2 linked regions of the Tribolium castaneum genome follow. The protein of the gene in region 2 purifies or fractionates together with the protein of the main gene of each other region. This does not show direct contact. Links are inferred from orthologs where the notes say so. Each region holds a gene or a part of one and is shown on either strand. Other genes may lie near its edges.

Region 1 (4,431 bases), on a different chromosome or scaffold from region 2:
TCTCAGTGTGCGACACTTCTTCACTGGTTTCCTCCTCACTGTCCTCAGACTCATCCCCGCTTAAACTTCCCAAGGAATTTAATTTGCCTATTTGTTTAATTTCGGTTTCAATTTGTTTACGACCGTCTTCCCCAAACTGATTTCCGTTCAAATTTAACACTTTCAATTTACTTTTATTCGCCATGGCTTTAACCAACTGAAGCCCCCCTTTCAGGCGAATTTCGTTGTGCCCAAGTGTTAACTCCTCCAAGTTGGCATGACCAGTTTTTAAAACATTTGCTAGAGAAATAGCTCCGGCAGTTTTCAGCAAACAGTCGCCAAAATTGATTTCTTTCAACTGTTGCAAGTGTGGGAGGGCTTTAGCAATGGCCTCAGCCCCCTTTTCACCAATCGTATTGTCATTCAAGTTTAAAATTTGCAGATTTTTATTTTGGGTAAAAGCCTCAGATAGTGCCGATATGCCAACGTGGTAAATACCATTCTGGGGCATTGCTATTTCTTCAAGTGTACCAATCATCTGTGAAGAAATATTGTTTTGTCAAGTTATAGGTCACTGATTGGAAATTTATTTTACCTTGAAAACCTCAGCAAGTGCTTTTGCACCTTCATTCTCAAGTCGGTTTCTTCCAGCGATAAAAACCTTGAGCTGGAGTGGTTTTCCCGTTTCTTTACTAGAGTTATAGCAGTCTGTTAGGGCTGACGCTAACAATTTACCACCAGTGATGCCTAGGCCGTTATTATTTAACCTGAGTTCTTCTAAAGCATAGCATGAGGAGCTTCTCAAAAGAGCAGCAAGTCCTTCGACACCAATTGGGCCGAAAGCATTGTCACTCATGTCCAGTTCAGTCAAGCGGGCACCTGCCGTTACTAAACCACTACCAAGAAATTCCTGAAATTTTGACTCAATTTTTTTGTTTGTATATAATTGGTTAGATTATACCAAAGCTTTCGGTATTTCTGTTTTCATTCTGCCCGTAAACATGTCCTTCCATAGCGCTCTCTTAAACTCGGGATGTTTTTCCAATGCTTTGGCAATGCCTTTGGACGCTTCAACTCCCAAAGTATTGCCTTCCAAGTTTAAAAATTGGAGGTTGGTGCATTTTTCTATCTCTTCAATTACGCTTTTTGCTGCGAGTTTGATAAATTTATGTCGATTGGTGCAATGGGGTTTGATATAACCTTACCGTCATCAACAGTATCAAGTTTTAAAGACTGGCCGGCAAAGGTGACCCCAGTGGGGCTCACACGAGTGCCTTGTAAGGCACTTGTAAGGTCGTCTACATTGGTATTTGTCATTTTTATTATTTACACAATACTACAACTATTATTTAATAAATTACAATCGCTCACGCGTGTCAAGCCGTTGGAATTTTTTAAAGTTGGTTCAGATATTCAGAAATTCTCGATTTTGACCTTAAAGTGTTTGACGTTAGGTGTCATTTTTCTGGACTGTCAGTTTAGGCATGTAAAATAGAAAAGTTCCTAAAAGAGCTTGCTTCCTCGATATACGAGGAAGGATTAAAAAATTTTACCACAATGCAGTAAGCATCAAACCTATCTTATCTTATTTTTAACAACGTTAAAGATACCTCTTCTCAGATTGTTAAGAATTATAAAAAAATATTGTGGAATCTTCTTACAAAGAGCGAGTCATTATTGAGCGAAGATAATAATGAAAAGTGTCCAAATACTAAAAAAACATGATAGTAATAATTTTCCTCATATGTGAGATTACAAAGAATAGTAATTATAGTAGTCGTCGTCTGCGAATAAAAGAAATATTGGACAATAAAGAATAAATCTGGCATTAAAATTGCTGTATTATTACTTTGAGTTTTAACACTATTTCAGCTTTATTGGTCGTTTTATGGGAGAAAACCTAACACATACTGGATAATGAAGAAGTATTTCTGAGCGTATTACATGTTACTGAACTATTTTCAATAGAAATAGCGTTAAAATTAGTAAAAAAATTGTTGTTAACACTGTTCTTTTACCAAACAATGCGTAAGTTACGAGCTGATATGCGTCAACCATTTTGCGAATTTTTTTTTTTGGTTGGTAAAAGTTGTCAATGTAGTGTCCGGATTCAGGAATAACACAAATTGTGGTGCTTTTTTAAATAATCTATTTAATTATGTTGTTGTTTTATACGTTTGGAGAAAAAATAGTGTATATTACTCGGACTGCAGTCGGCAGTCAAGCAACTAGCCTTGGCACATATGTATAACGCTTCGCTTATACTCTTAATATCCTAATAATACAATTATATACGACTATCTTCAATAAAAAATGTTTCCGTTTCAATCTCAATATAGAAAACCAATGGCAAAGTCCAGATAGACAACAAACTTTAATTTCGACGATTTCGCGAGCTTTAGAAGTTCCAACGTGTCTTTTAAAAATATTTTTTGGACATATTGAGGTCTGCTTTAGTACGGTCTGGTAGAAAAGTAAAATAGGTTCACTTTCTTAAGAACCATTTGGGTACAAATGAGTGACCTGTTACCAAGACAACTCAATCCCAAGAGCACGCTATTTTCACCAGGATGGACAGTGAGAAACTGTACAGCTTTTACATACTGTGCAGGTATATTTTTTATTGATCTTTCAGCGTCAAAAGATTTCATTTGTATTTTTTTATATTTCAATTTATTTCTAGTTTTTAATAATAGTTAGTCATCATATTTCAACAGTGAAATGCTGAATCAGAATGAGTGGAAGAACTGAAAAATAACTCATTCCACCTTCGTTTTCACCAATAATTTTTATTTTTATGCCGTGTTATTTGTATCACAAACAATTAATTATAGTAATTAGTGCAAAATGTCTATAAATCCATTGTACATGACTTTGTATCAAACATCCAAGTCATTAAAACTTGCCAAAAACTTGTGGAAACAAGTATTGATGTGTCTAGACCTATCTAAACTTTTTATATGATAAATATTTGAAAGTCATATCTTATGATAGGTAAGTGTGTGCACGAATTACAGCTATCAATTTGTATTTATACTTTAAAACTTTTATAAGCCAGAGTCATAGTTCAAACTTCAGTAGCGTGTTATCCTCCCAAGCGGTGCGGTCTCATCGTTTGTAAACAATTTAAATACACAACCGGCATTTAACGCGCAAAACATGGGCCTAATCATCAAACTAGTTCTAGTGATTATCACAGTCCTAACAGCTTACCAAATCAGTAAACTGTTCGAAACCCCACCTGTTCCAAAATTAGAAAACACTTGGTGGGGCCCCCGCGACCCCTCGAAAGAAGACACCGCGATCAAGCCTTTCAAAATCAATGTCTCTGACGAGGTAAACAAAAACACCAAACCAATTAGCGTACAAATAAACAGACAACAAAAATATCACTCAATCAAGTTCTAGGTCACCGTTTATTGTCGCGAACGTCGATTGCATAATCTCATGTTTTAGGTTCTCAAGGACCTCCAGCACCGCCTGGCCAACGCGCGCCCCTTGGTGCCCCCACTCGAGGGGGCCCAGCAGCACTACGGCATGAACACCAAGCTCCTGGGCAAAATCATCGACCACTGGAGGACCAAATACAACTGGAGGGAACGCGAGAAGTTCCTCAACCAGTATCCCCAGTTCACGGTCAGCGTCCAAGGACTCCGACTACACTACATCCACGTCAAACCCCCAAGTCCTGGAAACCTCAAAGTCCTCCCGCTCCTCCTCCTCCATGGCTGGCCCGGATCAGTCCGGGAGTTCTACGACATTATCCCCCTCCTAACTAAACCGGCCGAAGGCCGCAACTTCGTCTTCGAAGTCATTGTCCCGTCACTTCCCGGTTACGGATTCTCGGAGGCGGCAGTTCGCCCCGGTCTGGGTCCGATTGAAATGTCCGTGGTGTTCAAAAACTTCATGAAACGGATCGGTTTTGACAAATATTACATCCAAGGGGGCGACTGGGGGGCGCTGATTGTCCAGAACATGGCCACTTTGTTCCCGGAACATGTGCTGGGGGTTCACTCCAACATGTGTTTCGTTAACACCCCGTTATCCAACTTGAAACTTCTTTTGGGCAGTATTTACCCTCCCCTAATCGTTTCAAAGGAGATGGAATCGAAAATATATCCGCTCTCGGCTTTCTACTCAAATATTTTGCTGGAAATGGGGTACATGCACTTGCAAGCCACCAAGCCCGACACCGTGGGGGTGGCTCTGAACGATTCTCCGGTGGGCTTGGCGGCCTATATTTTGGAGAAGTTCACCACTTGGACCAACGCGGACTGGAAGGATTTGGAAGACGGGGGTTTAACGAAAAAATACAAGCTTGACGATCTTTTGGACAATGTCATGATCTACTGGGTTTCTAACTCGATTACAACTTCGGTGCGTCTTTACTCCGAGGCGTTCAATAAAGCGCAGTTGAGTCTAGGAGTGGAAAGGTAAATTTACAGAGATGTT
Region 2 (4,500 bases):
TACTATTGTACTATACACCTGCTCCAATTTGGATGAAGCACCCTTAGGGACATCCCTTTTTCGTTTTTTATCTTTCATTTAGGGCGGATTTTACAATCGTAGGATTACTTTATCTAAGAAATAAATTTTGAAAAATACATTGTTATAACAATTGTAACCATAGTAATTATACTAGAAATAAATTATCTGGGGTTTATCTGACGATTATAAAATCCACCCTTGATGAAACGTTGAAACTCATTCAAGTATTTAAGCAAAAATAATTTATTATGTAAATATGTTGTAAATATTTTATTATGTAAATAAAAAAAGAAGAAATACTGCTTTATTTTGAATTTTTTTCTAGGAACGGAATTATAACTATGTTACAATTGTGAATTAGTGGGATAAACTCATTCAAGAAGTATTTGGGCGAAAAAAAAATTATTATGTAAATGAAAAAGAATAAATACAGCTTTATGCTGATTTTTTTTCTAGGAACGGAAATTGATTTAGTCACAAATTCTGAGTTAGTGATTTTTGTACCGTATTTTCAGCCACTTCTCATTTCCTAACACATTATTTATTTGAAAAAAAATAGGATACAATAGCTCCAGTATTTTGTGCCCTCTTCAGTTTAATTCAAAAACTTACGAAAATCTAATTTTGTACAAAGTGTTAAACAATCAAAATTTATTGAAGTTTGTTATTTTGGGAATTAAACCTCCGAGGAATTTTGCAACCGATCAGACAGTTGTTACACAATTTCAAAGTAAGACAAGCTTCGTAAATTTAAAACTAAAACAGCATTACACGATCAACAATTTATATTACTCCTGCATTAAACAACAAAACTAATAAATTTAGAATAAATCGCCACTGAAGAGCATATAATTTTTCAATTTTTTAACGGTATTATTTAGTATTTCTTTTCATTATTATGTCTTGTATCAATTCCATAAGATTACTACATAAAACAAAAAAATATAATAATTATTGTACTATGAGGAGTCATTGATTGTTTAAGGTGCAGAAAAACAAGACAATCTGCTTGATTTACAAGCATTTTTGCCAAATTACATACACATTTAAGTGTTCTGGTCCACTCCTTGTAGTTCTTCTGTCTTCTTAAACTAACTGCATTGTTTATGGACAGCAAAATCTTGCAATGCTTGTCCAGCTATCGCTTTACGAAGCTTCGTAACTGCTGTAAGGACGCACCTTTGAGAAACCTCCTCTCACTTTGATAATACAAAACAAAAATTATGTAATCCCATGGAAATGTTTGTATGTGATTTTTTTTTATTTTTATACACTTCAGTGACTTAATTATAGTCAAACAATAATATTAAAAGGTTGCCAAATGCAGAATTCAGCCACAATGCAACGAAGCCACATGTAATGCTACTTAAGTTTTAAACAAATTATCGCGAAAATTTGGGACTTTGAAATTTGCGTAACAACAAATTTCGTTAATAATTTTCAAGTACTTTTATTCCATTGTTGGCAGAAAACCTCTTTTTTATTCAAGTGACAATCTCCGATAACCAGTCACCCTCATATGCATTCACGTTCATAACATGATGACTACAAAAAATAAATTAGTTCAACATTACCCAATGTACGCCTCTTGGTCCTTGTATTTGTTGCATAATGGATTTCCATTTAAAACAATATCGACGATAGGTAGTCCAATAAAAGGGTCCAACATTGACAGATCCTTAAACTGAATCCCCAAATTTACAAAATCCCCGATTTTGGGCAACAACATTACCTTATTATTTCCTAGATGCAAAATTTTTAAATGGGGCAGTTTCTCATTGGTCTTCTTTAAATACGACAAGTTTGCTATTTTGTTATCGAATAAATTAATCGCTTCAATTTCTGGGATATTCTCCGCGATTATTTCCAAAACTGTTAGAAAAATGATCGGTTTGAACAGTACACAGAAATTGTCTTGTAGGTCAGGGTCGGCGTGGAATTTCGTTAAATCGAGCGCTTTATTAGCGGCATTGTACCGCTTAGCCATCGTTAATTTAATTTTCTCCTTCATCTCACTATTAACGTCAACATTTGGCATCCCATGACTGACCTTAATCAGCAATTTAAACCCGTCGGGCATTTGAATCTGGCGATCTAAATCGTACAGCTTTTCCGCGGCTTTAAACTCATCCATGTAAAAAGTGGCAGTTGTGCCGTTTACACTCCACTGGAGACAAAAAATCAGTCAAAAACCCTCACACAAACAAACCATTACCGTAATTGGCCACAAGGGCAAAGGTTGGATCCGCTCGAGCAGCGTCTTCAAGACGAACGCCTTCTCGTATTTATTCCCAAACGGCAACTAGCAAAACACGTGTAAAACCCCCAAAAAGCCTCACTTAATACACTTACTGTCACGCGGTACCAACCGAAGGGGCTCTCCAAAAGCCGCCGTTTCTTGTGATTGGGCACGGGCGAGTCCCCGCGACCGCCCCGTCTGCCTTTAAACTGCTTCCGGTTGAAGTTTCGCCCGCCCCCGGACGAGGCCCCCATGTCAATGTCTTCATCTTCCAGGTACGCCCTACTCGCCGCTGCCCAGTTTCTATTGTCCTTTTTATACTTGTTTGACTTGAAACTCACTTTGCGGGTCTCGCCACCGCCGCGAAAATCATGCTCTGGCAATTTACTGCGTTTTAAACGAATCGCGTGGAGTGTGCTGGGGACTTACCACTGTATTGGCTTCTCCACGACGGTTTGTTGTATTTTCCGCCCTTTGAGGCCATAGTAGCGTCTCAATTACTTACTAGCACTTAACTATAACTATTATTGTTTTTTTAATAATTTTTTTGAGCCTGATTTAACACCACTTCACTTTCGACAAGTAAACGCCATTGATACGCGCTGCCAACAAGGCGAGGCCAAATTCCCTGAGAAAATCACCGACTTTTGAATAGTAGAGTACAGGAAATTTGTAAGGTTCTGACTTGTTTTTTAAGACGCCAAATATTCTGGCCCAGAAGTAACATTTTATACTCTACTCTAGATTCACTTACAGGGTGATTCAATGAAATGCAATGGTGGGGAAAACATTTATTATAAAATTTCTCAACAAAACGTATAAATGCTTCAATCAACGTCCATCCTATTAACAGTAATGTCGGTGCGCTGGTTTAGAATCTTAACGGCCATTTTTGGGGTGAAGCTGACCACCCCAACCTCCTTGAGGGCTCTCCCGCGGGAGTCCTCAATACCTGTGGCCCCCTCAAGAGCCAAGAGAGTCTCTCGTAGTAGCAAAGCGGACCCTTTAGTTATATTTAAAAGATTGCAAGCTTCAATCAGTCTGCAACAGTTCTTATTTTCCACTTTACCGACTGAGTAAATAACTTACTGGACGAAATACGTTTCGGGCCTTTCGGTATATTGCGAAAATAACGGCAGTAAATTCCTTGTTACGTCATACTTTAACTGCAAAGCGCCTCCAGTGTTAAATCTATTATCAAGGACAAGATCCTCAAAGAGGTAATTATCTAATTGTTGCGCAACCGAGCGCCAAACTATCGTAAAAAGTTTCGAAGCTAGAGTTTTTTGCAGTTGGTGTAGTCGTTTAGCCACGATTTCGAAAATAGGGCAGGCTGTGGGTGTTAAAGACAGGCCTTTGATGTCTTTACCGACATTCATAGAGGACCACCTTTCCCTCCTGTAGGCTTTACCTTGTGACCTGACTTCCAACATGACATAATCTGATAAATTAAATAACAAGTCGCGTCTCATGTGCCTATAGAGTGATAAAGTTTCGGCAAAAACAGTTTCACCCTCAATATCCGTGGGGTCAAAGTCGTCCGAATCACTTGACGGGCTTGTGGGTGCTTTGTAGTCATTCAACTGGCTTTTGTAGTAGTATAAATTCAAATAGTGCTGAAACACTTGCATAAGTATAGATAGTGCCATTTGATTGGCTGAAAGTCTGCGTTCAGCCAATCAAATCGCACGGTTCGAGCCAGCCGTACCAACATTGCCCCCCAATCAACTAAAACATTCTCGATGTAATAGATCGTGTTAGCAATCGTGGGGATCTTCGATTCGACTATATTTTCATGTTCCGCGTTAACCAGTTGCAATAATCTTATTCTAAAATCATCCAGTAACTCTAACTGGAGGTCTAAGAACTGCAAGCGGTGGCCGGGTTGTGGCAATGCCTCGTAACGTTCCGTGATTGTCTGAAGAAGCGTTATAAAAGCATCGGCACATGTTGTTATTTTCAGCTCTTCAATATCGTAAGTTAGCGGCTCGAAAGGATCGACTGTGGCTGAGGACATCATCGCGTCCATTTTTTCCATAGCATCTGACAAAATATTATCAGAACAAATTATCTCCTAGGCGATTGGTCGCACAACCTCCTTCTTATTTTAAATTTAAATTTAAGGAGGCTGTGAACTCACGCCAACTCACATTTTTTCTCCATAGCCATCCACTTAATAATGATTTTAGCTTGAGTTAAAACGGCTAAAATACTCGGCTGCGTCGGTGGATAACTGTAGG

Evidence for each region.
Region 1: the proteins of nuclear RNA export factor 1 (region 2) and RanGAP purify together in Homo sapiens (co-immunoprecipitation; 3 studies listed by BioGRID and IntAct, with this or other methods). This does not show direct contact. The link is inferred for Tribolium castaneum from reciprocal best matches to the Homo sapiens genes NXF1 and RANGAP1.

The regions. Positions count from the first base shown.
Region 1 is NC_087394.1:31,333,132-31,337,562, reverse strand, and holds the start of RanGAP (ran GTPase-activating protein 1), read right to left. Parts: upstream 2,881-4,431; 5' UTR 1,297-2,880; coding exon 1,185-1,296; intron 1,129-1,184; coding exon 941-1,128; intron 890-940; coding exon 575-889; intron 518-574; coding exon 1-517. UniProt on the Homo sapiens protein: GTPase activator for RAN. Converts cytoplasmic GTP-bound RAN to GDP-bound RAN, which is essential for RAN-mediated nuclear import and export. Mediates dissociation of cargo from nuclear export complexes containing XPO1, RAN and RANBP2 after nuclear export.
Region 2 is NC_087399.1:3,670,574-3,675,073, reverse strand, and holds the start of nuclear RNA export factor 1, read right to left. Parts: upstream 2,882-4,500; 5' UTR 2,745-2,881; coding exon 2,690-2,744; intron 2,637-2,689; coding exon 2,374-2,636; intron 2,324-2,373; coding exon 2,237-2,323; intron 2,189-2,236; coding exon 1,754-2,188; intron 1,706-1,753; coding exon 1,596-1,705; intron 1-1,595. Other genes in the region: Rint1 (RAD50-interacting protein 1), read right to left, coding at 3,088-3,301, 3,350-3,876, 3,969-4,303, 4,411-4,500.